Ovis aries: one gene and its partners. The protein of the gene in region 3 interacts with the protein of the main gene of each other region in a pairwise test. Links are inferred from orthologs where the notes say so. Each region holds a gene or a part of one and is shown on either strand. Other genes may lie near its edges.

Region 1 (5,843 bases), on a different chromosome or scaffold from region 3:
AGAAATTCAGGTGGATTAAACATATAAACACTAAAAACACTAAAAACTTTTTTTAAAACTCTTGGAAAGATGTACAGGAGAGTATCTTTATGGCATTTGCTAGACAAGACTCAGAAAACACTATTATGAAAGACTAGTGAGATTACATTAAAAGTGTTTATTTAAGAAGATTCTATAATCAAATACAAGGATACATCACAGACTTCAAGACAGTTGAAACATACATAACAGAGCATTATGTAGTATCGAAAATATGTAATAGCTATAAATCCATAAGGAAAAGACAAAACAGAAAATTGGGCAAAAGGTATCACCTGCGAAATCACACCGCATTTCCTCAATATCCTGTACTTACACGAGGCAGCACTATTCAGTGTTGGGGACTATCTATAAGAAATGAGTATCAGAAGACCATTGGGGCCCTCTGGAGGCTGGTTACTACACACAGAAAATAGTATTTTTTTATTTGACATACAGTCAATAATATTAGTTTCAAGACAGTACTTTGTAGTGTTTTGGTAACACATGTGTGCGTTAAAAACATAAAAACACAAACTAGAATATGCAATCCCTCTAGGACAGAGGTTATCTCCGGGGAGAAAGGGATGGAATCAAAAGGTAATAAAATAAGTTTCAAATGAATCTAACACTTACATATTAATATATTCATAGATCTAAAGAAAACATAACCAAATGCTAACATTTATTAAATCTGCATGGTGGAAATACATGGGTGTTCTTTAAGTGATTCACCTTTCCTCTTAGGTTTGAAATATTTCAGTAAAGTTTTAAAATAAGGAACCTGAAGAAATGAAAATAACATTTGCTTTGAACAAGCTTATTTTTATAGATTTTAAAAATTGCAATTTTCATGACACCAAAGAAAAATATTTTTCTAACATCAAAATAAGCATCTCTTTGGTATAGCAACACACCACAAGTGTTATCTTTAACATAAAAAATTAATCAAGAACTATGACTTAATATGCTAAATAAAACTATCCTTTGCCCATCCATGTGTCCCCTTTCACAGGCCCATTGTGGGGCTTGGAAGTGTTGTTCTGTGCATACCTCCACAGCTACAAGAATTAAGACACTGCATCAGATATGTCCAGAAGTCACACAACAGAGAATTAGTTGGCTTAATCACCGACACATATGACACAAACTCACCAAAAGAGAGCGCGTGTGCACAACATATGAGACAAGTAAAACAGAGCATTGTCATGAAGATCAAATAATATGAAAACAATTACATCATTTAAATTTGATGCATTTTTTTAAAGTACTTGTTTGGAATTATTACACTCAGAATTTAAAATTATTACCTGCCAAGCTCCAAAAGTAATACTACAAAGCCATAATTTTGATAAGGCACTTTAAGGAGAACAATTAAACATACAAAACAGTGAATATAAGAAATATCCATAAAAGCAGTTAACCTCAGAAATAGAGGGGAAAAAAATACGTATTTTTTCAAGACAGGCTTCAGTAAAAGTTTTTTTGAAAAGCATCACAGAGGGGTGAAAAATATTTATCATGTGTTTTTAAAAGTTATCAAAGTTCAAATTCCTGTTAAAAAAAAGAAAGATAACATTTTCCTTAAAGTCAGTGAAGTTCTGACTCAAATACTTTTTCAAGAAACAATTAACATCTTTACGCTAAAGTTAAAAGAAAAAGCAGCTTTTAATTATGCTGTCAACTCTTATTTAACAAACATTTAGTGACTGTTGTGTAACAGTGTTTTAGGTTGCTGGAAATATGTAAGCAACTAAGACACAATCATTGGTTCTAGGGAACTTAGCCCAGTGGAGCTAAATCTAACATTGGTAACATGAAAGTTTACTTTCTTTGGGCCATAAATAAAGCTCAATTTCAAATTCTGCTCTTCTTGGCATCTTCTTGCAAATAGAAGAGCATAATGGTTCACCTCGTTTGCTACTGGCAACACTGTGGCATTATTACCTACTGATTAACTTTCATAAAAGAGTCTTTGAAAGTTCAGAGAACAGAAAGTGTTTAAAGATAAAAAAATATGAATCAGCCTCAAAAATAACATCAGCATTCTGTTTTCACAAAATGAAGAAAACCAAGAAAATTTTCATCTTTAAGTATCCAGAACCGTGCGATCATCCAGTCTCCATGGTACATGCGCAAACATCATAGATGAGGAGGTATGCATTATTACAGTCAAGTCAGTCATCAGGCTTCAAGGAATCATAGCCTTCTTTCAAGAGGTCCCGCCATGTTTTAAGGAAACGTGCATTTTCTGTACATTTGAAGGCAAGCTCTTCCACTTGAGCTGATACTGCAGATGTGGCTTCCAGAAGTTTGGTTAATGAAAATGCTGCCTGAAAATTAAAAAAAAAAAAAAAAAAGTAAAACTATATGTTTATTTTTAAAATTCTCTCCCTATTTTATGAACCTGGCTGAAAATAGCTTAGAATCCAATGCCCAAGTTCTTTTCTTTAAAAAGTTAAAAATCTTCAAACTACGACATGCCAGCTCTTTAGTGGAACCTAAAAAAATTGTCTACATTAAGTAAGCTTTGAGGACATCTGTCTACTAGAAAGATATACATTATGTATGAGACATGACCAGTCAGCATCTTTTTCGGGTGATAATACACTAGTCTCATTTAGCTCAACAAGACGACTTGAGCCCGTTGACACCAAGAAGTATTTGAAGGACTTATGATACAGCTCTTACTGATGGGAGGGAGCGACTTGCTCCGCTATTTTCATCTGTTTAACACTGCAGACCATGAAACCGTATGAACCAAAGAACAGACACTCTGAGCTCACAATTAACACCAACAAAAACAACACCCATGCAGAAAACACTGCAACCTTGGTGGAAAACTCATTTCTTGATCAAATGCTTTCTTCACCCACCGTATAAAATAACACTGTTCCTGGGTAACAAACATATCAGCACTGCATTCTACACGCTCATTTGGAACAGCCTGGTTCAGCAAAGATGAAGCTGTGTCAGCATTTCAGCCATCTTTTTAAAACAACAAATACTTGCTGAGGAATGAGAGAATAAAGGAGTTCACCCCGCGGTTTGCAACCTGCACAGGAGGATCTCCCGGTTAAGACGACACCCTACAGACTTCATTCACTTGACCTTAAATCGAGAAACCCGACTGTGTAGCTGGGTGGCTGTGAGTGTACGCGCGCGTCTACTAACTGGAGACTCAACAGAAGCCGTCCAGACCAGGAATCCCGGCCATCAGAGGGACGGGTCTTTGTATTGTTAGGGGTAGCAATCTGGACCACGGGGCGGGGACTAACCCATCCTAACTGGGTCCGCTCAGAATAATCATCGCCTACCCAGCAGGCTCTGGGCAGGCGGCCAACTAAACAGGGCGAGGGGGAGGGAGACGGATCAAGTCCCAGCAGAGGAATCCCTGTCTGGCCCTCAGCCCCGCAGACGAGGCAGGGCGGTGGGTTTGTGAACTGCGCCGTTTCGGGTTACACCGCGAGAGCGGAACCAGACCTCCAGGCACAAAGACCCCGCGCGGGCGCGGCGGGAGAGGGATGCCCTGGACTCCCGACGCGGCTCTTGAATACGTGCGGGACACGGCCCGGACCCGCCGGCCGCACTCACGTCTCCGATCTGCAGCTCCACCTCTTCCAGCGGGTCCACCAGTCGGCCGCTGCTCCTGCTCGGAACAGGCCAGCCCAAACCCCCTGGGGCGCCGGGGGAAGATGCTGAAGACGTGTCTGGAGAAGAAGGAGAAGAAGGGGGCGGCGGCGGCGGGGAAACCTGCAGCCCTTCAGGGTTCGCCATGGAGCGCGGCTGGGCGACTGGACCGGACTTGGGAGGCCGAACCAATACCAACCGTCTTTCAACCGCTCGCGCCCAAAGCCCAGCGGGCCCGCCTCCTCTCGGCTCTCCGCCGGGGACCGCGAAGCCGTGTCACTTTCTCGGGACAGCCAATCAGATGCCAATGAGTTCGCCTGAGGCTACTCTCCGCTCCGGGGGAAAACCTCCCAACGGGTTCCCAGACGCCGGAACAGAAGACCACAGCTCCCAAGGTGCCGTGCGCGCCGCTACGCCTCACAGTCTTGGGGCTCTGCGCGCGATTCATCCTGGGATTTGTGGTCCCCCCGCCCCCCACTCCCCAACCATTCCGGCGCTCTCAGCGCACGCCGGGTGAGAGGCCGTGCAGCCTGCAGCCGCGGGCGGCGCTGGGACTTTGAGTCCCTTCCCGTGCCCCTTCGGTCCGTGACCCGGAAACGCTGCGGGCGTCGCGTCGCGTCACTCGGGGCGCCCGCGCATAGCAAGACAGGCGGGAGCGTGGTGAAGCTGGAGCGTTCCGCGGAGCAGGCAGGTGGTGACTGCTTGCGTCTCGGCCGGCGATGGCGCCCCCAGTGGTTTAGAGGTCCCGCGCCCGTACGAGCCAAGCCCAACCTCCTCCCCGGCGTCGGCCAGCGTCCTGTCTGTCTGCTGTGAACATGCAGGTGCTGCTGGCCAGATTGGCCTGCCCGGGTGAGCGGGGTCTGCGGGCGCGGGTTGACAGAGCAAGGTCGCGGGGCAGTCCGGGCTCGCCTCGCTAGGGAAGAACTCGGGCAAGGGCGCGCGATCAGCGCCAGGTGGATCCTGGTTTCCTCCCCGGGCTTGTCCCTGTTGAAAAAGTTGACAACTAGGGCAGAGGTCACGGGCGGAGGAAACTTGTCAACGCGGCTCCCGAGCGGAATCTTCCCCGAACCCTGGTGCTGACCCTCCTCCCAAAGCCCAGATGTTGTCCTAGACTTGCAACAGCCTTGTTGGAAAATGGGTAAATTAGCTATTACACAGATTTTCTCCTTGGTCCTCTCCTGACTTGCGTCTTGCAGCCGTCCTACTCCTTTCTTAAGAATTTGAACTCTGTTCTGTCACGTTGACATTTATATGGTACCCAAGTCATCAGGTTATCTCTGGAGCCGGGAATTTTTCTGTGTTGTCTAAAATTGACTCTACAGCGTATCGTGTTATGGTTGCCCTAAAACCATCATGATGATTTGGTAAAATACCTCATTACCTCCCCTTTCACCTTAGAAAAAAAGTAGAATGATGTCATTGGACGGTTTTTGTTTGTTTTCCTTAAAAACAGTTAAAAAAAAGTTTACTCCAAGATATCTCTCAAGACTGACTTAATTTTTTCTGTAGTTTATTTAAATTTTGGTTCTAGAATAAACAAGTGTACATATTGCAAATTCACGGGTATTGTGTAAATTTCAAAAAAGTAGAATTTTGTCAGATTTGTCCACCATGTATTAAATAATTGGAATTTAAAGTTTCTGTTATGGTGCATGTTTTATGACACCTAATGTGTAAATACTGTTGACTGAAAAAAAATGCACAACCTAAAAGGTTGAGGATTGTGTTTTACTCAGCAGGCACAGGGAGCGCTTAGGAGACAGCCTCTTAAGATAGCTCTGAGGGACAGCTCTGTAGAAGCCAGGATATATAGGAGTTTTTGCAAAAAAACAAACAAGCTGAAACACACAAAATAGGTAGTTGGAACATCAAAAGATTACTGCTAATTAAAAAAATATATCTCAAGTTAATGAATTTAGTGCTTTTCTGTGTATGGGAAGATGTAAGAGTTTGGGCTCATTGAAATCATTCCTTTGATACGCATCTCCACTATCTATCTATCAGTGTCCTGCGTTTCTCCATCCTGAATGCCTTCAGAGTACACAGTCAGGGACGGCTGCAGTAGCTGAGAGCCTGATGGCCACAACATCCTTTGTTTACTGATACAGCAGGTGATATTCTTTGTCCACAGTGCCTCCTCTAAGTCATAAATTTGACCAACATTTGGGAGTCATTTCATGACCAGTTTTTGTCCC
Region 2 (5,929 bases), on a different chromosome or scaffold from region 3:
AGTGGTATGACCATCAGAGGCACTCTGGGTACAGCTGTGACAGGATGAGGTTTTGAGCGTTGGCTGAACTCTTTCATTATCTTCAAGTGTTGATCCAATAGTGTTGCTGCTGCTGCTAAGTTGCTTCAGTCGTGTCCAACTCTGTGCGACCCCACAGACGGCAGCCCACCAGGCTCCTCCGTCCCTGGGATTCTCCAGGCAAGAACACTGGAGTGGGTTGCCATTGCCTTCTCCAAGGCATGAAAGTGAAAAGTGAAAGTGAAGTCGCTCAGTCGTGTCCGACTCTTAGCGACCTCATGGACTGCAGCCTACCAGGCTCCTCCATCCATAGGATTTTCCAGGCAAGAGTACTGGAGTGGGGTGCCATTGCCTTCTCCGTCTGATAGTGTTAGCCTCCAGCTATTGACACACCAAAGAGGTGTGTGGGTGTTGGGCTAAGTGATGCTGAGTCTCAGGTCTTGTCCAGTTGACTGTGTTAAGTATCAGGCTGTTTATGGGTTGGTAAACTCCTGTGGCAGCGGCTCTGTGTGTCTGAATCTCTGGGTGTTGCTGTGAGCGTGTGTGAGTCCTCAGGTTTTGTGTGTGTGTTGGTGTGATTGCGTATGCATTTATCTGGGCACTGGCTGGCAGTATGGACGTCTCTGGGTATTCACAGAATAATGCTGCTACTGTTTAGTCACTCAGTCACGTCCGACTGTTTAGCAACCCATGGAGCGTAGACGGCCAGGCTCCTCTGTCCATGAGATTTCCCAGGCCAAGAATACTGGAGCGGGTTGCCATTCCCTTCTCTGGGGGATCTTCTCGACCCAGGGATCGAACCCACATCTCCTGCACTGCAGGCAGATTCTGTACCGCTGAGCCACAGGGTGGGCCCTCAGAGTAGTCTGGGTGCTGGCGTGACTGTGTGTGAGGGTCTCTGGCTACTGATGTGATGTGTGTTACATCTTTTAGTTGTAAGATGAAAAAGTTCTGCAGATTCCTTGCACAAAAATGTGAAAATACTCAACACCACTGAGCTGTATGCTTAAAAATGATACGTTTTCTGTAATGTGTTTTTTTCCAAAACGTTTTATTTTATATTGGAATATAGGTGATTAAGGGACTTCCCTGGTGGCTCAGTGGTAAAGAATCTGCCTGTTAAGCAGGAGATGCAGGTTCAATCCCTGGGTTGGGAAGATACCCTGGAGAAAGAAATGGCAACCTACTCCAGTCTTCTTGCTGAAAAATCCCATGGACAGAGGGGCCTAGCAGGCTGCAGTCCATGGGGTCACAAACATGGGGTCTAAACGGAAGCAGTAACAACAGCCAACTAACAACGCTGTTATACTCTCAGGTGTTGTGTTTTTTTAATCACAATTAAAAAAATTTTTTAATCAGTTGGAGCCTATAGGTGTTGTCTAGGTGTGGGTGTGATTGTGACTGTGACTGTGGATATTTGTGTGATACCGTGTAAACCCTTTGGTGTTGTCCAGGTGTGGGTGTGACTGTGACTCTGGATATTGGTGTGATACCGTGTAAGCCCTTTGGTGTTGTCCAGATGTGGGTGTGACTGTGACTCTGGATATTGGTGTGATACCGTGTAAGCCCTTTGGTGTTGTCCGGGTGTGGGTGTGACTGTGAGTCTGGATATTGGTGTGATACCGTGTAAGCCTTTGGTGTTGCCCAGCTGTGGGTGTGACTGTGTGTACCTTTCCCTGAGTGTTGGTTTGGGCCTTTTGTCTGCCTGTATTGGGGCCTCCCAGGTGGCACTACTGGTAAAGAATCCGCCTGCCAATGCAGCAGACGCAAGAGATGCAGGTTCAGTCCTGGGTCGTGAAGATGCCCTGGCGAAGGAAATGGCAATCCACTCCAGTATTCTTGCCTGGGGAATTCCACTGGACAGAGGAGCCTGGCGGGCCACAGTCCGCAGGGTCACACAGAGTTGGACACGACTGAGCACTTGTCAGCAGTGATAGCAGCCACCTGCATTTTCAGGTTGGAAGCTGCCGTGACCGAGTGTGTCTCCCTGGGAGGCAGTGGCAATGGGCTGGCCGGCCGCACCCTGGGACACAGTGGGTGAGCCCTGGGCAGTGGAGGCCCCCAGTCCCGCATCCCCCACCCCCCAGCCCAGGGAAGCCTGGCTTACCGTGCACGCCCACCGCGGGGTCGGGCAGCACCACGTGGGCATGCAGCTCCTGCAGCTGCTGGTGCAGCAGGTCAAGCCTGCGTGAGGAGCCGCGCAGCACCAGCTCCACGGGACCGAGGTTACGGCCCAGGTCAGTGGTGGCTCGCCGCAGGTTCTCTGCACCCTCCTTCAGCTTCAGCTCCTTACGGATCTCCCGCCGCAGACGCTCCCGCTCCAGCTCCAGCTGCTGCTGTACCCCAGGGGCTGCCAGGTCGGCACCTGCCAGGCCCAGCTGCTCCAGCAGGGACCAGCTGCGTGGCTCACTCTGCGGGGGACGGAGCAGGGTCAGTGGGGCCAGAGCGGCTCTGGCAGTGCAGACCACATTCAGCTGACCTGGCCCGGCCTCCTCCTGGGGGGGGACTACTGACACAGGCCCTGCTCCATGTCCTCCGACAGTCCCCCAAAACTGGGAGGTGAGACAAGGCCCTGTGCCTGCTTCCTGACACCTCCAAACTGTGAGGTCCCAAGGGCAGGGCCTTCTCCTTGCCTGTCACCTCAGACAAGAGGACCACAGGTACACTTCAGTCTTCCCTCACTGTCCTCATGCAGTGGGATCCTGCAGGGCAGATTCCATTGCCCCATCACTGGGTCCCCACAGCTCGGGGTCCCCAAGGTCAGGCCCTAGCTCTCCTTCCACTGTCCTCCCAAATTAGGGGGGCCCAAGAACAGGCTTTGTCTCCCTCTGTTGCCCCCAAATGACCAGGTCCTGAGGGGAGACCCCCTCTCCCCTCTGCTGCCCCCCTAAACTAGGAGGTCCCAAAGGCAGGCCCCATCTCTGCTCCCTTATGCCCCACGTTAGGAGGGCCTGAGGGCAGCTTTCATCTTCCTTCTGCTGCTCCCCAAATGAGGAAGTATCAAGGGCAGGCCTGTGATGCCCCCCAGACCACAAGGTTGGGGTTCCAAGAGCAAGTTCCTTCTCCTCTTGGCTGTACCCTTGAACTAGGAGGACCTAGGGACAGGCCTCATCTATTCCCTGCTGTAACCCCAAACTAGGAGGACCCAGGGCCAGGCCTTGTCTATTCCCTGCGGTAACCCCAAACCAGGAGGGCCTGGAGACAGGTTTTGTCTGTTCCCTGCTGTACCCCCTAACTTGGAGATCCGGGGGCCAAGCGCCATCTCCCCTCCTTTTGTCATCTACAACTGGGACCCCAAAGAAAAGAGCACTGTTCCCTTCCTCCTCTATCCCCCCAACCTGGAAGCTCAAAGGGCCCCAAACAGTTTCATCTTTCAAACAGAAAACTCCAAAGCCAGCATCCCACCTCCTCTCCTCAGTCCAAAACCAAGCGGTACCGAGGGCAGGGCCCCTCCGGCCTGTGCCACTTGGGGTCCTCTTCTGCTGCCCCTCCCCCACAAGGACCCCAGCCCCCACCTCCAGCTCCGGGTCCAAAGGGGGATCAGCCTCCGCCATCCTGGGCCCCGGCTGAGGGCCCCGCCCTCTTCCTGAACCTCAGCCCTGCCAGGGCCTCTCGCCTGCTACTTCCTCTTTCCTGCTGGCTCCCAGCAACCCCTGCGAAGGCCAGCTCTGGGGCTCTGGGGCATCAAGAGCACCTTCCTCTCAGCCCCCACTCGAGGGCTGAGCCTGCTTCTCTGGGGTCATCCCAGGGGTGGCCCCTCTGCTCCCTGTCCTGAGGATGCCCAAGGTGTACGCAGCAGGCACACACACACGGGCCCGCTAGTGTGGACATGAAGAACAGCCTTCCCCACATATAGCTTCCCTACAACACACTTATACACCTACAGGCATCACAGGCTGGCCAGTGTGTGCCCACCCCCCACCCCCTGTATATACTTATATACACCAACACCCACAAGTGCTTACATGGGCGGGCCAGCCCCTTTCCTGTCCCAACTTCCGGCTTCTTCTCAGCTTGGTTGCCTGCTGCTGCTGACCACAGCTTGGAGGCCTGGGGGCCCGGCCGGCCCTGCGGTACCTCCCTGAGGCCCACATCATGAGGAGACAGCTCTGCAGGGCTGGAGTACCAGTGTCTCCACTTAAGCTCAAGTATGATTAAGAACCATGGAGGTTACTACAAGCTGCACACCAGGTCAACTAACGCCATTCCAGGAGGTGCTACTATCACTCCGTTTTCCAGATGAGGAAACCGAGGCCTGGGGCGGTGACCTAACTTGCCCAAAGCCTCATAGCCAGCAGGAGACAGAACTAAGATTTCCAACAAGAGTGCCCAGAATCAGAGCTAGTTGTCAGCCAGGCAGGAAGAGCCCCGCATATATTATCTGCCGCCACGGTGAGACCCCATTTCAGAGATGAGGAAAGTCAGGGTTCACTCTCGATCAACTTCAAGGGCAGCTGCCCCCAGAGAAGATTTACTTCAGGCCTAAAGTGTCACTCCCATGATCCTACTGACCCCTCAATTTTATCCTGAGCAGCTGCCATATTTCCCCTCCTACTTTACAGGTGAGGAGACTGAGCCTCAGAGGGATGGCAGCAGCAGTTCTCAATGGCGGAGGGGATTGCCAACACTCCCACCTCACTTCTGGGGGCAGCTGGCAATATCCAGAGCCATTCTGGGTTGGTTGTCATAACTGGGGCTGCTACTAGGCTCTATGGGGTTGAGTTCATGGAAACTGCTTGACATTCCACTGTAAACACGAGAGCCTCCACCTCCAAGAATGATTCAGCCCCAAATGTCAATAGTGCTGAGCTTTAGAAACCCTGGATTAAAGGACACAGACTCACACCCTGAGCTGCTGGCCATGACCACTGGTAAGGATTTCACAGCAGCCCTACCTGCAAGGGGCTGACCTGGTCTACGTCCTTCCTCACCGTGAAAACTCTCTTGGCTACATTTTTTTTTTTTTTTCAATTTTGACGGCAGAAACCAAGGCTCAAAGAGGGAATGGCGCTGGGCCTAGGACACACTGTGACGAAGTGGCAGCTCTGGAATTTACACCCAGGGTCACCTCCTACCACCTGCTATCAACCAGGTCCCACCGGCCACCCAGCCCCACCCTGTCCCCAGCAGGCAGAGCAGCGGTGCAGCCAGGAGCGGGGCCAGCTTGAATGAGGGGAGTCCGGGTTTGGGGGGAGGAGCAGAATCCCTCAGCCCCACCTCCTCCAGCAGCTGAGGGATGAGAATATGCAAAGGAGGGAGAGAGGGAGGCTGGGCCTCCCGGGTTCTCCTTCCTTGGATGACTCACTCCTATCCAGGGCAGGGGTCACCTGAGGGCCAACGAGATGAACCCATGAATCAGGAGCCTGGCCTGGCCTTGGGGAATCCCCAACACCCTCCAAGAAGCAGAAAACACCTCCCCTGCCCCAGGTCCAGAGGGTCCACTTCTCAGAAATTCCCTCTTCCTAGAGTGACCAGGGATCTAGACCCCATGTCCGGAGATTTCAATGCATTGGGCGTTTCTGGAATCCGGACAGGACATCCGTTTGCCGGACACAGAACAGACAGGCACACACACTGGGACAGACAGAGGGACAGGGGTAGCAGACCCAAGCAGCCACGAGAGAGAGAGGAATGACTAGGACGGGGTGAGGGTGGTGGTGGGGTGGGGTAGGGGGAAGAGAGCAGGCAGGAGACGGGAAAGGGGACCAGGGCGCAGGTCCAGCCTCGGTCCAGGAATCACAGTCTCCGTCCAGGCCATGTCTGCTACATGCCAAACGCATGCATGTGCCAGCGGAGTCCTACACTGTCCTCCCAGGGCTGATGGGGTAGAGGCAGGGACCCAGGCCCTCCCCAGCCCCCAAGGTCTGACCTTGTGTGATCGGCAACACCAGATACGCCCAGCTCCTCGGCA
Region 3 (5,924 bases):
CATCTGGTGATGCTTCTGTGTAACTCCTGTTGCCGATGTTACTATAATTGGGAAAGCAAAAAATCTGAATATAAACATCAAGAAAAATGACGGTGTCAGTTTTAATGACCCTCCAAACAGTGATTCAGCAAATTCATTGCTCATATGAAAAAGGTACTCATCTTATAAAGTAGAAATCTTAATTTAAACTAAGATTTCATTTGCTGATCTATACAGTAGAAACCTGAATCCTTACTCTAAGCTTGCACAGCTCGCCAAACGACAATTACAACGGCAGCTGGTCTAAAAGAAAACCCAGTCTCTGAAGTCTTTCCACCTTGTTCTCAGGGGCACATTTCAAAGCAAGCACCATCATTACCTACAGAGAAGGCTCCTGCTGTCCCAGAAAGGATCTTACTCACAGAGATCACAGTCAGTATTCTTACTTTGTCAACTCAGCCCTCTGACAAAAGACACTCTCTTGAAAGTGTTTTATAAAAGCAACGGGTTTTCTTCTTCTGCCTGCACAGTTTCACGTTTCTAACAAGGTATGAATGGTAGACCACAGCCTTCTGAGGTTAGAAACTTTCAACAATTTTAATTTTTACAAAGAATGCCCCAAGCAAACTTTGGTAAAGAGATTCAATCTACTTAAGTAATGCTTCTATTGCTAAAGAAAAAAAAATTGTAGTTCTATGACTGAGCACAGGATCTCAGAAAACTGTTTTAGCAACTCTCTTCAAGTAAGGCTCTCAGTGAAATTAATAGTGAGGATGTTAAAAAATGAACAGACATGTGTCTGCACCTGATAAAATCCCACTAGATCTGCTTATCAGCCCAAGAGGACAGACTTGCTCCCAAACCTTACACAGCAGCAAAATTATCTAGGGAGGGCGAGGGCCCACCCACTGCCAAGCACTGTAGTGGGCACACCAGAAGGCAGCACCTCCAGTCAACAGATTCCTAGTAAATGAGTAGGATCCTGTCTGTCCTGTGGACAGGCACTGTAGTCCTAATGCCTCAATGAACACCTGGCACAGAATAAATACAATTTTTGAAAAATTAACAAACGATCCATTAGAAGTTTAGGAGTTAACATATAATGTAATGAGAGTGGGACAAAGAGACCCTTCTATTCACACTGAAGCCTTCATTCTTTCACAGGCCAAATTCACAGTTGTGACTGTTGGAATTTCACATCTATTCCTACCCCACACACTTGGTTATGACACACAGGGTTATGTCAAAGTCCATGGTGATAACAAATGTAAAAGTCCTCTGAAAAGAACAGACCAAATTCCAAACGGAAACTGGCACAGGAAGTTTGGACCTGTGCGCTTCAAGATTTCATTACATCTGCACACCTGATGACTGATTTCAATCAGAGGTTAGAGAGTTCCACGTCTAACCTCTATATGTTGCATTTGCTCCTCAGTAAGTTGAAATATTACAAGTGGTTGTTCCTAACAACCTCCCACAGGGGAAACTGCAGCGTAGACTAACGTGCCTGGTGGAAGAGAGACATGAAAACAATAATCCTGTGTGAGTGCCTCAGTTCAGGTCAACAAATGGTAAAATTGAGTTTCTATTATGTGCTAAGTATTGTGCTAGATAGATTAAAAAAAAAAAACTGTACAGAGCTACACTTTCTAAAAACAATAAAGAAAACTATTTAGTTATGATTATAGGGCAAACTGCTTCATTTCTTTATAGGGAAAGGTTGCAATTGCAAAATGGTTGCCTCATAAATTCTGGAGAAAGTATCAAACTAGGCCATCAATCCCTCTGAGGCATTCTGAAAACAGGTTAAAACATAAGACAAATTTGCCTTGTGTATGCTGTGAATATGATGGCAAATACTGCAGTACAGCCACTGAATAGGTTAGACTATGTAAGCATAAACTTTGACTTATATAAAGGCTATATAAACTTTGATTTAAGCTACCAGCCACAATATATTGATTTAAGAAATCACCTTCCCCCAAAAGAGTTCCTTATGTTTCTTTTCTGAGTCTTTCGAGCCTACATTCTTCCCCTCCGGCTAAGTTCAATGGTTAGCATGAACAAACACCATGGTCATTTAATGTTCAACTAAATGAGATGGTAACTTTTTATGCCAGTTGAGAGATGAAAAAGTTGATTTACGCAGAATTGCTGGAACAGAAGATGCCTGAAAAACATTTCTCAGGAGACAAGAAATCCAGGACAGGCCAAGATAGGAATGCCTCTTGTGAAAAAGCTAGGGAGCAAAGTGAAGGAAGCAGGTGAGGCACAAGTGCCCTCAAGTCATTCACTTACTTGGCATCTGGTAAACTACGCCTATGTAGCCCCCCTCTCAGCCCGTCTGACACCAACTGTAAGAGCTGTAAGCCAGGTGGCGAAGAAGAGATAGGGGTTTGAGCAGCGACTAGGACGACTCCTCATTCTGAGTGTGCGGATTCAAAAATACTTTGCCCTATGGCAGAAACTAACACAGTATTGTAAATCAACTAAATTCCAACAAAATCAGTCAAAAAAAAAAAAAAAAAAAAAGACTTGCTTCCACATTTGAGGGAAGTCACTTGGCCGCTTTAGCATCCGCGTTACCCATTTGGAAAAGGGGAATAATATGAGTTACTCTCTCAACGGAGTTACTGTGCGGATCAAATATGTGCGCGATTCCTGCCACACGGCACTGCCACCCCGGGTCCACCACCTGCAGCAGCTCACTCGCCGGCTATGAGCACCGGCTGTGGTTCCTCCCCGACGCGGACAGCCCGGTAAGGGGCCACCCCTCTCCGCTCCGAGGAACACCTTGGGGATTAAATGAGTTAATCCCCAGAGAGAGCTCCAAACGCTGCCTGGCGCCCGGTCAGCTCCTGACACGCAGTAGTGGCGGGGACGATGGGGGATGCTGATTACCGTGCAGGAGCCCGGGCCCGCGCAGCGGAGTCCTCCCGCGCAGGACCAGCAGACGCGACAGTCCCAACGCCAGGTGAGCGCCAGATCTTCCCCGATCCTGGCGTCGGTGGGCCCCGAGCAAAATAAACTTTTTAACAGTTTCGCGGCCAGGAGGTGAAGCCTCGAGCCGGCAGCCGCCCTGCCCTGGCCAGGCCCCGCCTGGCGACCGCACCCTCACCTTGCTGGAGGTCCTGGTGGTCGTACCACGGCTCGTCCTCCTTCATCTCAAACTCCTCCACCAGGTTTTCCGCCAGCATCTCGGCCGGCTCTTCTGGGGGCAGCGGCCCCCGCCGCCGCCGGCCCGCCTCAGCCGCTGCCCCGGGCTCTCCCCCGGCCCCTCCGCCCTCAGCCAGAGCCGCCCTCGGGCGGGACGCGCCGCCGCCCAGGCTCCACCGCGACGCCTGACCACAGCCGCCCACAGCCGCCGCCGGCGCCGCCGCGGGGCGGCCCGCAGCGCACGCCGCGGACTGGCTTCCCTCGCGCCGCCCAACCGCCCCAACGGCCGGCACCCCGGCGCGAGCTCCTGAGTCGGCTCTCCGAGCCGGCTCCTCACGCCGCAGCCGGGCCCAACGTGGCACTTTGGCAGAACCCTCCCCGACCGGGGCTGCGATTCAAACCCCCGGCGGCCCCTCGGCCAATCGCGAGCAGGCCGCCGGCCGAGCGGCGGCGACTTCGTCCAATCGCGTCTCGCCGCAGGCCCGCGGTTCGCCCGGTATCAGAGGCAGGCAGCCAATGGTGACTCCTAAGGAAACAAAGAAGGCGGGAAAAGGACAAGGGGTGCGGCCGAGGGTCCCGCCCTCTTCTCCCTTCGAAACGCTTCTGGCCGTGCATTCGGCGCGCTGGGGTGAGGAGGTAGTGGCCTTCGCTTCCCCTGTGGTGGGTGGCCGGCTGCATGGCCGGTGGACGGGCTAAGTGGGCGTGAGAATCAGAAGTACGGTCTACGAGCAGCGGACGGTTGCGGGAGGGCGGGAGGCGCGAGGCGTGCCGGGACCCTGAGGTCCGCTGCCCCGCCGACCCCTGCTGGTCTTCTGACTCCCAGATTTGCTCTGCTTGATGCCGGGAAATCGAGGATCGATCGGAAGTTCAGGGCAGTTAACTGTTTTCTTCTTGATATCTGAGCCCTCACCTCCAAATCGCTGAGAATTTGTACTGCCCCTGAAACGGTGGGCCTCAGACCCACCTGAAGGTGCAGTTGAAGCGACTTCTGAGAAAAAATTTGCAAGCGTTTTTGCATACTTTTTTAAAAAAGAGAGATCACCTGTTAAGCATCTGGAGTCATGATGTTCCACCTGGAGAGAGGAGATTGCAGCCCTAGCCCTTGATGGCCAGTAGGATAGTGAAAGCTGTTCTCTGCATACAACAAAATAAATACTGCTCGTAGGTTGTGGCTTTTACCATCCTCGTGCAGACAAAACATAAAAATTCTAAAATAAGGTGACAGATCAGAAAGTCAGTGTTCTTAGCCTTGATGTAATGGTGAAGGTACAGCTGACAGAAGACAGCTATTGTGGAATTCCAGCCAGTAATCTTAGAAGGAACAGTCGTTTCAGAGGTGATAAAAGAGGAATGGTAAACTCACATTTCTTCTAAATCCAGGGACACTAAAAAGTAAAATGTTACTGATCTATTTTTATTGTTAGGTTAAGAAAGAAACTAGGTTGACTATTCTGCCCTAACTGCCCTTATTCTGGTAGAGGTATTATTAGTCCACAGCCAAAAGAAAATAACTAAAACTATCTTAATTTACAAGTCACTACAGATAGAGCTCTTTGGAAAGAGAGATGATTGGATTTAGGATTTGCTGATGATGATTTGTTGAAGCTGAAGAGCCAGAATCATGCCTCTGACCTTCAAGAAACTCATCTTTCATAGTCACTAGTAACTGAAAGTGCTAACACTTTCCCCATGGCAAAAGCTTATTTTGACTCCAAATCAAACGGGAAACTGTATTGAAATGTTCTTTAGCATTCTTCAAAAAACAACAACAAAAAAGAACGATCTGAAGAATCAAAGTTATTGATGATTTTTAAGTCCACACAAAACCCAACACACCAGACTTTATGCCTTTTGGTATTAGTGCGTTCTTTTTAAGAACACTGGGGGAACTTCTCCACCCTCCGCCCCTGCCCCAGAAAAGCTTGAACAAAAATTGCACTGAGAAAGACAAGTTAGCTTTCAGTGCTAAACTCCCTGCTTTCAAGGGGTCTCCATCATTATTTAGAGTCCATGTAGTCATAGCTGAGAAGCAATCATAAGCAGCCTCTTCAGCAACATTATTATTTGGTTTAGCAATAGGTTAACAATAACAACCCAAGTTGATTCTGAAAGAAGGGTTTTGGGTTTTCATTTAATAATTCACCAGTATTTAGTGCATGTTCCCAGCCTAATCATTACACCATTTTGCTACTTTTAAACTCTTCTATATAAAGCATTTTGTATTAAAGAAGAACCAGGTTCAGAAATCCTTTGTTCCTGCTTATAAAGATACACTTACTATTCATGTTCTTTGGTGTTTTGTTGCTATAGTAAAGTCAAGTCAGAGTTTTAAGTAGTGTTGACTTTAAAGCCATTGTAAGTGGTGGTTTTCAGTTTGATACCTACTGAAATAAGTGTTTATTATAATGAAAATAATCTAAAGCAAAATATCAATAGTTCTTTCTGCAGATGGAAATAAGAAAGATTTTTACTTTTTTTTGTCATAAACAGAAGTTCAGGCTATGGAATTTTTTATAATGTTATCAAAACTTTGTATCTACCATGCTGCTGCTGCTGTTAAGTCACTTCAGTCGTGTCCGACTCTGTGCAACCCTATAGACGGCAGCCCACGAGGGTCCCCCATCCCTGGGATTCTCCAGGCAAGAATACTGGAGTGGGTTGCCATTTCCTTCTCCAATGCATGAAAGTGAAAAGTGAAAGTGAAGTCGCTCAGTCATGTCCGACTCTTAGCGACCCCATGGACTGCAGCCCACCAGGCTCCTCCATCCATGGGATTTTTCAGGCAAGAG
Region 4 (5,666 bases), on a different chromosome or scaffold from region 3:
CTAAGAGCTCCTCCACTGGCAGCCAGCACCGCACCTGCCCTTCAGGCTTCCCTCGGGCCTCAGGAGGTGTCTGGCTCTCAACAGACACCAATCAGGTGCTGATAAATGACTCATTTCTTTGGCTACGCCAAACGACTTGTGGGATCTTAGTTCCGTGATCAGGGATTGAACCTGGGCACTCAGCAGTGAGCGTGGAGTCTTAACCACTGGACCACCAGGGAGTTCCCACAAATGACTCTTATAATGGTGATAAAAAGGGGCCAAAATCTGATGCTACAAATGGGTCCTAGATGCTAAAGATCTACTTCAAAATATACAGCAGGCTTAAAAACACAGCTTAGAGACCACCACTACACAGGACTACTTTGGAAGTTAAGTTAAAATACACCAGTCCCAGCCTTTCATGGGACCAGAGAACTAGAATAAAGAAAAGGGACTCAGATATAATGATTTAAGGGGCCCAAGAGAATAAAGATGACTCCTGGAAAATACACACGAACAACGACTCAGAGTCAGCACTTTTCTCAGCTGGCTCTGTAGTGAACTGCCATCTCGGCCCCTGAGGGAGACGCCTCGTGGCCTCACCGACAGGCCGGGGACTCGGGCTTCGCACCCTGCTGAAGAGCTACGCGGAGTTACCAGCTTCCTTTGCTCCTCTCGGGCCGCCTTCAGGTTCCCGTGCTGCTCCCGGATTCTCCCTTCCCTCAGGTTCATGCTCAGCCTCAGCTCCTCCAGTTGTCTGGCCAGCAAGTCCTGCTCCTCCACCAGAAGCTGCCTGAGTCTCTGCCGTCGGGCCTCCAGACGCTTCCTGCCCTCCTCCTTCATCTTCTCCCGCTGGTAAGCATGCATGCTGGGCGAGAGGGGCCACCATCAGCCTGGATGCTTCCAGCTGCACAGGGGCTACATGGCTGGCTGTGTGGGTGACAGGCTGAGACACATGGAACATGGTGACCTGGGAAGGCGTCCTCCAGCCAAAGTGAACAGGCCAGGTAATAGAACCACTATGCATAATAGAATCTTGTTCTTGCAAGGAAATGTACAAGAGGCGTATCTATGCACATGGTAATATTATCTGAGTAGTTACCATGTACTACATAACCTGGATGGTTTTTATAGTAGTCATGACATAAATCCTATAAATTAGGTTCTGTTTTAGCCCCACTTCACTGATGAGGAAACTGAGGCTCATTCATACAGCAAGTGACACAGTCAGAATTGCTATCTAGGTCTGTCCGACTCCAAAGCCCATAGTCAGAATTGCTATCTAGGTCTGTGTGACTTCAAAGCCCATGCTTTTAACTTCCGTGTTTTCGTATGTATCTCTCTCTATAAAAATGGGTGTATGCTTGTATCTATATTTACACACAAAAACAGATGAAGAAGTGTACGGGAGGTTACGGACCAGACAGTTCACGGTGGTTCTCTCCTGGGGAAATGGGGCTACCGGGGGACTTCCGGATTCTACATACACGTCTCATCATCTTATCTTTTTCAGTCAAATGTGTTACTTCACTGCTGACCTTCTTTTCAGTTTCCAGTTGGAAAGACATCGCCATGCGAGTATCCACGGAAATCATCACATTTCCATGCAAGTATCCACGCCGGCCAGCCACCCTCCCCCAGGTCCTTGAGTCAGTCACATCTCCCGGCAGTAGGTGGCCCTCCAGCCCTAAGGGAAGGTGCTCACCGCACAGTTACCTCCGCTGGTAGGAGGCCCTGGAGCTCCACTCTGCCTGTTTGGAGCTGCGGATGTCGGACATCTGGAAGTAGCGGCTGTTCTGGTCCCACTGCTGCCGAAGATGCGCCTCCTGCTCCTGGCGGCGCTGTCGGGCGGCCTGCTGATCTGGGAGCCGCCGGCTGCACCAGGAGGAGGGCAGCGTGGGGAGTGCCATCTGAGGAGAACAGCAGCGCTAAGAACAGGAGCCTGCTGCAGCTCCTCACCCCTTTGAGGCCCGGTCCTCACCCTGGGCTGCACACTGGGATCTCCTGGTAGAGCCTGGGCCCCAAGGCAGACCAATTAAGTAAAAAAAAAAAAATCTCAGTGCAGGCTCCCAGGCACCAGCATTTTAAAAATGACTTGCTACCAGGACCCCAAATCATCTAGCTGAAGAAGCCTGGACTGCACCCAGCTGTGAGCCTGACATCAGTAAGGGCAGTGCAGAGACAGGGAGCCAGTGCTGACGACACTGGACTGGCACACGGAGGGTTTCTGCGCTCTGCCTAAGGTAACAGAGAGGATAACTGCAGGCATGCGGATGTGGGCCAAGCCCTTGACTTATATGACCTTTTTCATTGTTACTAGCACCCTGCTGTTTTTGGCAGCTGAGGAAACTGAAGTTCAAAGAGGTAAAATGACTTGAAGATCACAAAGCCAGGAAGCAGAGGAAATTTAAACAGGAGCTGGGAGCCTAATTCATGTTAGCCTGGGATGAGGGCCCAAGCTCTGTAGACTGCAAGATGGTACTTGTTGGGACCAACATGCCCTGGCTGTGAAGTGAAATGAAAGTCGCTTGCTGAAATCAAAGTCCTGTCCCACTCTTTGCAACCCCATGGACTGTAGCCCACGAGGCTCCTCTGTCCATAGTATTCTCCAGGCAAGGATATTGGAGTGGGTTGCTATCTCCAGGTGTCACACCTGGTAATGTTCTGGATGAGCATGGAGGGAGATCCCTCCTTCTTACAGATGGAGAAACTACCACCCAGAGGGAAGAATCAATTTGCACGGGTCAAGGGGGCGATCTGGGGACACGGGCGGAGACTCGAAAGCAGAACCAGTCTCTCCGGACATCTCCCCCCAACCACTCCCGGTCCAAAAGCTGCCCCAGGTGCAGGGTCTACACAGTGCCTGGCTGTGACAGTGCTCAAGGAGCTTCTGGCAAATAAACAAACTCAGAGTCCTCCGAACCGGGAGGAAAATGATCTGCGTCTATGAGTCAAGCTTAGCCTGAGACTGCCAGGTCAAATCTGTCTTCAGACTGTGGCAGGCCTGACAGACATTTTTCTTTGCCCCATAGGCCGCCTGCGGATAAATCTTTGCACGAGGATTGAGGAAAGTGAAGATTCCGGCCCCAGATGAACCATCAACAACAAGCTGGGAGGCTCTCTGAACAAGTCGCATCCCTCTCTCAGCCACATACAACAAAAGAGATTACAGAGGAAAGGGTCGGACCCAGGCCGCGCGGGGAGCCGAGTGAGGACTGGAAGCCGAAGCCCCGGGCGCCCCGCGATCGCGTCCCGGGACGGCGGGCGCGCTTCCCGCCAGCGCGGAGCCGACTGCGGCAGAGCTCTGAGGGTCCAGACCCCAACGCCGGCCCCCGACCGAGCCCAAACCCCCGACTCACGTTTCTCTGCGCGCCGGAGTTTCCCAAGACTGCCCCGGCCCAAGGTCCCGCAAGCCCCAAATAATCCCTGCCCGGGCCACGGCGACCCTCTCCGACAGCGCTGCACTTACGCCGGCCGTTTCCCCGCTCGTTGCCGAGGCAACGGGCCGGCGATGGAGCGCCGCGAGGGCCAAGCCTCCTGCAGCGCGATTACTCGGCGCGCAGAGCAAGAAAAGAAGTCTGTGTTTTTCTCCGATGCCCCCTCGTGGTGGGCGGGAGCTCAATCGCAGACATCGCTTGTCTAAGGAAAAGAATCCATTCACTACACCAAATTCAGGATGATGGCTACCTGAGGGAGGCAGGTGAGCGTCGGGGAAAATCAGAGGGATATAATAGGGAAGGGAATTATAAGCCAGTCACCCTCAAACCTGGCTGCACAAGAGAATCATCTGGAGAGCTCTGAAAAATCCAGATGTCCAAACCGGACTCCAGACAAACCCCATCGAGCACTCTGTGGTTGTCTAAGCCCCTCAGGTGTGTTCAAGGTGTAGCCAGCTCGAAGAACCGCTGATATAAGTAGGTTCGAGCTATTGGCAACTTTCTATTGTTTTAGGATGGTGGTGGGTTCAAGGGTGTTCCTTCTGTTAGTATGTTTTATAACTCACATGCTACGTGTATCATTCTATGTACCAACTATTCTCTTAAAAAATGAAATTAAAAGATTGGAAATTCCCCGGCAGTCCAATGGTTAAGACAGCCCACTGTCACTGCCGAGAGCCTGGGTTCAATCCCTGATTGGGGAGCTAAGATCCCACAAGCTCTGCAGTGTGACAAAAATAAATGAAAAGCAAAAGTATTAACTCTTTTATTCAGGCTCTTTTCATTTTCCCATTTTTGTCTTCATTTATTCTTTCCTTCACCCTTTCCTCCTTTTTTTATTTAAATTTTATTTATTTAGCTGCCTGGGGTCTTAGTCGCGGGCACTCCCATCTTCTAGTTGTAGCTTGTAGGGTTAGGTGCTCTGCCACATGTGGGAACCTAGTTCCCCAACCAGGGATCAAACTTGGGTCCTCTACATTGCAAGCTGGACTCTTAACCACCAGACCACCAGGGAAGGCCCGCCCGCCCGCTTCCTTCTTTTATTCAATTCTCTGTTTTCCCTGGATGCAGTATAAAGTCTGGTTGAACAGAGTGACCTCTGTTGCAGCCTCCACCACAACAGTCGTGTGGTCTGGACAGGTCACTTCGTCACTCTGAGCCTCCGTGTCCTCATCCGTGAAATAAGAATGTTCAAGTAATTGAAAAAGGAGCCCATTAGACTGGGAAGGCTGTGACACCTCCGTAGCCGATGCAGGTCAACCTAAACCTAGGCCAGAGCCAAAGCACCCAAATTGGAGAAAATGAAATTTAGCACTCACAAACAGCCAACTGGGCTTTCCCAAACAAGGCAACCTCTTAAGTTACAGCCAATCAAACGATTTCCTTGCTTTCACATCTTCTTTCTAAAAACCTCTCCTAGATCCTGCCGGTAGAGTGTTCTGAACACCTTTCTTTTGCCTGATTCCGATCAGCAAGTCTTGAAAGTTTTACTGTGCCTCAGATTAGCTTTAAATAAGAATACCGACAGGGCTGCTTTCTACAGTTGCCCTCATGAGAGGAAATGAAAGTTTAAATGGAGCGGCCTCGGGAGCAGAGCACCTGGTGCATCTCAGGAGAGCATGCGCTCGCATACCTCCCCCCCTTTTTTTTCTAGTTTTTTGGCAGCATGCAGGACATGCAGGATCTGAGTTCCCTGACAAGGGATTGCACTGCCCCCCTCTGTAGTGGAAGCACAGAGTCTTTACCACTGGACCACCAGGGAAGTCCCTCTCACATCTCCCTCAGAACCTGCCCTGCCCTGTGCGTGAGATCCTCTGGAGTTAGCCTGTGATTGGTCCCAACCCCTTGGGCCAAGCTCACGGCCAGTCACCCATCCTGTGTCCACAGCGGAGAAGGGAAGCAGCCACCCACTCTCCTCAGCCCAGCCAGAGCCATCCACATAGCAAAAGAGCCTGATTAAAATAAATAGTTGTTGATAGGCCTTCTTGAGTGTGATAGGAACTTCAGAAATGCGTGAATTGTGCTGTGGGAGACGAGCCTTCAGGTCCTGGTTTTGCAGCTCTTGGCAAGGGCCTTCCACTCTCTGGGCCTTAGTTGCCTCATCTGTATAATGGCCTTAAAGGACCAAACAAGCTCAACTGCTGGGATCAAGGGCCTAGGGCTTGACTGACCTTGTCCTGGAAGCCTGAGGCCCCAGGCCATACCCTCTGGCCTATCTTCTGGGACAGGACTGCAGCTTGTAGGTTG
Region 5 (5,193 bases), on a different chromosome or scaffold from region 3:
GGGGGACTTCAGCTCTTCTGCCGGAGCCTGGTTTTTAAACTAGAGTTTCCCTGCCTTGCCGAGGGAAATGGTGAGGCATTTTAATGATGTTGCATTCCAGTCCTCAGGTGTAAATTTACATGAGGCTGTATTCTTTGATTCCCTACTTGGGGTATGAAGGATGTTAGATAAGACTCAGTTATAGAAACATCCCAACCACATAGTCCCCTGGAACCAGATAAGGGCCACCAGACCTTAAGGGATTCACAGAAAGAGGAAAACTTCAGGGGGACTTCCCTGGCAGTTCAGTGGTTAAGACTCCATGCTTCCACTGCAGGGGGTGTGGGTTCAGTCCCTGGTTGCGAAACTAAGATCCTGCATGCCACATGGCACAGCCGAAAAAAAAAAGAGGAAACGTTCAGGAAAATTGGACTCGGCTACCTGACTCTTGGGACTAGGCTCTCTTTCCTCAACAAGTTAATTCAGTATTTCTCAAACTCAAGTCATGTACCGTCTTCATGACTTTTTTGCAATACTTTATACTATTATTTATGAAATGCACTTAAAAAAATAAACTTATGTACTCAATTAGATTTACTTTTAAAATAAATCTTACTAGTTCTGTAAGTGGAAAACCAGTATCATTTGCCCCAAATAGGAAATAACCTTAGAAATACAGTGAAACATTAAACAGTCTTATTAATTAAATTCTAAGCCAGATTGTGTTGCTTATAAAATGTTGAACCTGAGGCTGCCCTCACTTTGTTAAAAAATAATCCTAAAGATAGAGTGGGGTCAAACTCGGATCCCTCAAGGGCCACAGGACTTCAACAAAACAAAAAGAGAACAACTTCTGCATTTTGAACCTCAATGTTTAATAACAATACACGTGGGCTACCTAAAATTATCTCCTGTTCTACCAGTAGTCGATGTCCTGCTCTAGAAAATATTTTAGGGTATGTTGCCGTAACAGATTAACTCTGAAATCTCAGTGGATTGACACAACAGATGCTTATTTCTCACTCATGCTTCCAGACCAAGGGAGGGTAAAGTGGCTGTGGAAGGCGGGCTCTGCTCCACCTAGTCGCTCTGTCATCCAGGCTGAAGGAGGTGCCACCACCTGGAGCCTCGCCAGTTATCACAGCAGAACAAGGCTTGCGGAGAACTCACCCATAGGACTTCCTGATGGCCCACTGCACTTCCATTGCAGGAGGCTCAGGTTCGATCCTTGGTGGGGGAGTTCTGCATGCCACATCGTTTGGCAAAAAAAAAAAAAAAAAAAAAAAAAGGGAGAACGCACCCTTGTTCTTTACACTTTGGCTCAGAAGGGACGGCCTCACTTCTCTCCTCAGCCCGTTGGCCAGAACCAGAAGCCTCACCTAAGTGCAGGGCCTGGGATGTACAGAGGAGCACGTGGAATATTTGGAGAGCGATGCTCTCTTTGTTTCATCTGGTTCTGCAGCATAGTGCTGCTCTAGACGCTTCTAGATAAGGAGTGGATGTGGATATTTTCTATTTGAAGAGGGTAATGATTGTGTATGAGATAATTTGTAATACTATTGATAATCTGTTAAGAGAAAGTGGCTGGATATGTCAGACTGTTCCTTGGTAACAGCGTCTCCTTTCTTAAAGCTTCATTAAAGAACGGTCAAAAGTCAGCACAGTTCCTCTGAAAAATAAGAAGGCCTCCAGTTTTCACGAGTTTGCCCGGAACACCAGTGATGCTTGGGACATTGGTGATGATGAGGAAGAGGACTTTTCGTCCCCTGCTTTCCAAACTCTGAACTCAAAAGTTGCCTTGGCGACTGCTGCCCAAGTGCTGGAAAACCACAGCAAGCTGAGGGTGAAACCAGAACGGTCCCAGTCAACAACATCCGATGTACCTGCCAGCTACAAGGTCATAAAGTCCAGCAGTGACGCCCAGCTGTCCAGAAATTCCAGTAAGTCCGTCCAGCTCCCCGCCATAGGCTCTGCCTTTTCAGCAGAGCGCATTTTAAATAAAAACAGGTTCTGGTGGGGGGCATCCCTTAGATTGTCCACTGGATGATAAATAAGTGAGCTGGAGCCTGAGGGCCCTCAGGGGGCCTCACTGGTCAGGAGCTGTGCTTGCTCCTCCTGCCTGGATGGCTGCCTGGCCCTGGGATCCTGGGCTTCACTTTGGACACCCCTGTGTTGCCTGCCCTTCTCTCCTTCCTTTCCCTGTGCTGGGGTCCAGAATGCTTATGGTGTGGCTGCTTCACATTTCTTTGGGCCTGGTCAGGTTGAAGTGTGCTGACAAAATGTAGTTGAAGTTGTTAGTGGCAGAATTTCAAACATGTCTGGTACCGTTCCTCTGTTCTGGGGAAGAGCCCCTAGCAGCAAGTCGTTTCTCTGCTGTTCCTCAGGAGCGGAGTCCCTGTGTCACAGCTCCCTGCCTGCCAGGTCTGGGTGGGGCAGGAGGAGAGCCCACCTTCTCTTCAGGAAACTGGCAGCACTAACCGGTTGAGATGATGGTGGTTTTATGAGATGCTTGGAGACACCTCAGTTCCATTGCTATGTCTGCTGCTGCTGCTAAGTCACTACAGTCGTGTCCGACTCTTTGCCACCCCATAGACGGCAGCCCACCAGGCTCCCCCGTCCATGGGATTTTCCAGGCAAGAGTACTGGAGTGGGCTGCCACTGCCTTCTCACTGCTATGTCGAATGTTGCCCTAACGCATTTTATGGGAGTCAGTCGTTCTGAGCTGGAGGGGGAAGTGCCCTCATGCTAGTGAGAGTTAAAATAGCTGACTGTGGTAAAGGGTGAAAAGGAAGTGGGATGTCAGGCCGTGGCGCGTGTCCTGGCTCCTGTTCTCGGAGAACTTCTTTTACAGTTTCAGACAAGGATGTGCTCCGGAAATGAGGCTGTAAAGCCTGGAAAATCATTCCACAGTCACTTCACATCTCTGATTTGGGCCCCAGTGACGTGCCCAGACAGGCATTCAGTGCCCACTGGCCAGGTGACCACAGCTCCTGGCTGTGGAAAGTATCTTCACATGAGACCAAGGGTCTTCAGAGGGTCCCGCTGTGAGGGAAGGCCCCACCATGGTCCCTGACGAGCTGCCCTTGTGCAGCCAGGACCACCCAGAGCACTCCTGTTACAGGGTTCCCTCCTGTGAGCATCGGTCAGCCAGTCACTGATAACCGGAAGCGGCCTTCAGTCTCAGCTCTGTAGCGTGTGGTCTGCATTTTCTCAGCCCCATGTCACACTAGGCATCCAGACCAAGTGCCCTGTGGCCGTTGAGTCTGTAAACCTCCTAGTGCCGGTTGATAAGGATTCCCTGTTTAGTTCTTGTGCTGACTACTTGTTAAGGCCCAAATATGTAAAGAATGTAAAACAGTCATGAAAGGATGGTCAGAATTTAAAACTGAGTTTTGTTTGGGGGAGTGAAATAAATAAGGGTTTTGGCGTCAGACAGACCCAAGATAACTCAGCTCTCCCTTGCAAATTTCTTAACCTCTCTGAGCTATAGTTCCCTCAAAATCGTGATAAACTCCTGCTGTAGTATGTTGTAAGGGTCAAGTGAGAGGACATAGGTAACTGTGACCAGCTCAGTGCCTTAGTAAGCAGTCAGTAAATGTTAGCGCTCTCCTGCTCATTTCTGCTAGCTACCATCTTGTTCAGAAGTGTCTAGAACCAGATATAGAGTTCAGCTTGAGTCCGTATGCCTGTTATTTCAGTCATATCCCAACAGAACTAAACGCCGGTTCATTTTGGTGAGAAATGTCAAAGCACAGAGGACCCACCTTAGGTCAGAGAGCCTCTCATGTGTGAGCCAAAAACAGGTGAGAGTTGTGCGAGGAATACTGGCCCTCTTAGCCCTCGGGGCAGCCAGCTGGGGCCTTGGTCTGCGGGAGAGCAGCCATCACCTTTCTTTTCGCGATGCGCTTTTGCAGTCATTTTCTATATGCTCTGAGACGAGGAAAGGAAAGGCAGATACTGCCTTTGACTACATTGCCCCCACCCCCAAACTCGCTATTAGACACCCAAGAAAAGTTCCAGGTTGGGATAAAAAGAAAGCAATAGATTTTCCCTCTGAAGTCACAAAAATTTGTCAGATTTGCTGCAGTAGCTGGAGTCTCTGCGCAGAAGGTGCCTTGGTATGTATGATAAACACGCAGCCCTTCCCCTGAGTGAACAGAGGGCGGCTGGGTTTCCACCCACTGGCTGGCGGCCTCGCCCTGGGCAACCTGGCAGCCGCGGCTGTGGAGGAGCCCCATGCCCAGCAGTCAGGTCTAAGTGTCTCTGGATCTGTGCTCGTCACACAGCCTGTCCTCTTTCTCTTTCAAACGACCCCTCAGGTGACTCATGCCTGAGGAACCCGCTCCACAAACAGCAGTCACTCCCTCTCCGACCCGTCATCCCGCTCGTTGCCCGCATCTCAGACCAGAACGCTTCTGGGGCGCCCCCGATGACCGTCCGGGAGAAAACCCGCCTGGAAAAGTTCCGTCAGCTTCTCTCCAGCCACAACACTGACCTGGGTGAGTACCGCAACCCCCCCGCCCCGCCCCGCCCCCGTGAGCCCTGGGCAAGCAGACCTCTCGGTGACTGGAATTCTCAGAGACCCGGAAGCTACTGCTCTTTATTCTTCCTTCTTTTACTTTTCCAGCATCTCCTGATCTGGTGCCCACTGAAGTGACACGCAGGTATCACAGTCAGACATACGTTAACTAGAAATCAGGGGCCAACTTAGGCGGGACTGGACTCCGTGGCCTGTAGAGCCTAGTGCACCATTGGCTTCGGTCTCCTCTACCTCCATGCGATTCCTCCTGAAATCCACACCTCCTGGTCTTCCTCCTCCCTCTAACTCTAACCTCTGAGCTGACTGGATCACTGCTGCAGAGCTATGACCTTGGCTGCTCAGGGCTGTTGTTTTGGGCTTTTCACCCATGCTTGTCGGTAGCTGGCGGTGGTGGTGGCAGTGGCGATGGCGGTCATCCTCCTGAAACGCTGGGGGGCACCAGGCAGCACTGGCTGAGGCTCGTTTCAGGGCACCCACGGGAAGGACTAAGTCCAACCACACCTTCATCTTTTTGCAGATGAACTGAGGAAGTGTAGCTGGCCGGGGGTTCCCAGGGAGGTTCGGCCTGTAACCTGGAGACTCCTGTCGGTGAGTTCTGCCCCCTGGGTAGAGAAGTGCAAGCCTCACACGGCCCTGCCTGCCTGCGGTGGCTGGTCTGGGGACGTCAGTCTTGC

Evidence for each region.
Region 1: the proteins of CDR2 (region 3) and C17H4orf46 interact in binary tests that used the Homo sapiens proteins (3 or more experiments, as listed by UniProt). The two-hybrid records come from large-scale screens. The link is inferred for Ovis aries from reciprocal best matches to the Homo sapiens genes CDR2 and C4orf46.
Region 2: the proteins of CDR2 (region 3) and PKN1 interact in binary tests that used the Homo sapiens proteins (3 or more experiments, as listed by UniProt). The link is inferred for Ovis aries from reciprocal best matches to the Homo sapiens genes CDR2 and PKN1.
Region 4: the proteins of CDR2 (region 3) and TCHP interact in binary tests that used the Homo sapiens proteins (3 or more experiments, as listed by UniProt). The two-hybrid records come from large-scale screens. The link is inferred for Ovis aries from reciprocal best matches to the Homo sapiens genes CDR2 and TCHP.
Region 5: the proteins of CDR2 (region 3) and TBC1D22B interact in binary tests that used the Homo sapiens proteins (3 or more experiments, as listed by UniProt). The link is inferred for Ovis aries from reciprocal best matches to the Homo sapiens genes CDR2 and TBC1D22B.

Annotation. Positions count from the first base shown.
Region 1 is NC_056070.1:40,563,683-40,569,525, reverse strand, and holds C17H4orf46 (renal cancer differentiation gene 1 protein), read right to left. Parts: upstream 4,034-5,843; 5' UTR 3,796-4,033; coding exon 3,613-3,795; intron 2,352-3,612; coding exon 2,196-2,351; 3' UTR 138-2,195; downstream 1-137. Other genes in the region: ETFDH (electron transfer flavoprotein-ubiquinone oxidoreductase, mitochondrial), read left to right, coding at 4,464-4,497.
Region 2 is NC_056058.1:9,645,743-9,651,671, forward strand, and holds the start of PKN1 (serine/threonine-protein kinase N1), read right to left. Parts: upstream 3,587-5,929; 5' UTR 3,573-3,586; coding exon 3,534-3,572; exon of another isoform or gene 3,424-3,533; intron 2,430-3,423; coding exon 2,126-2,429; intron 1-2,125. UniProt on the Homo sapiens protein: PKC-related serine/threonine-protein kinase involved in various processes such as regulation of the intermediate filaments of the actin cytoskeleton, cell migration, tumor cell invasion and transcription regulation.
Region 3 is NC_056077.1:20,582,482-20,588,405, forward strand, and holds the start of CDR2 (cerebellar degeneration-related protein 2), read right to left. Parts: upstream 3,504-5,924; 5' UTR 3,177-3,503; coding exon 3,098-3,176; intron 2,954-3,097; coding exon of another isoform or gene 2,870-2,953; exon of another isoform or gene 1-2,869.
Region 4 is NC_056070.1:63,503,461-63,509,126, forward strand, and holds the start of TCHP (trichoplein keratin filament-binding protein), read right to left. Parts: upstream 3,455-5,666; 5' UTR 3,342-3,454; intron 1,893-3,341; coding exon 1,699-1,892; exon of another isoform or gene 1,688-1,698; intron 851-1,687; coding exon 640-850; intron 1-639. UniProt on the Homo sapiens protein: Tumor suppressor which has the ability to inhibit cell growth and be pro-apoptotic during cell stress. Inhibits cell growth in bladder and prostate cancer cells by a down-regulation of HSPB1 by inhibiting its phosphorylation.
Region 5 is NC_056073.1:11,234,784-11,239,976, forward strand, and holds part of TBC1D22B (TBC1 domain family member 22B), read left to right. Parts: intron 1-1,611; coding exon 1,612-1,919; intron 1,920-4,298; coding exon 4,299-4,478; intron 4,479-4,551; exon of another isoform or gene 4,552-5,036; coding exon 5,037-5,107; exon of another isoform or gene 5,108-5,193. UniProt on the Homo sapiens protein: May act as a GTPase-activating protein for Rab family protein(s).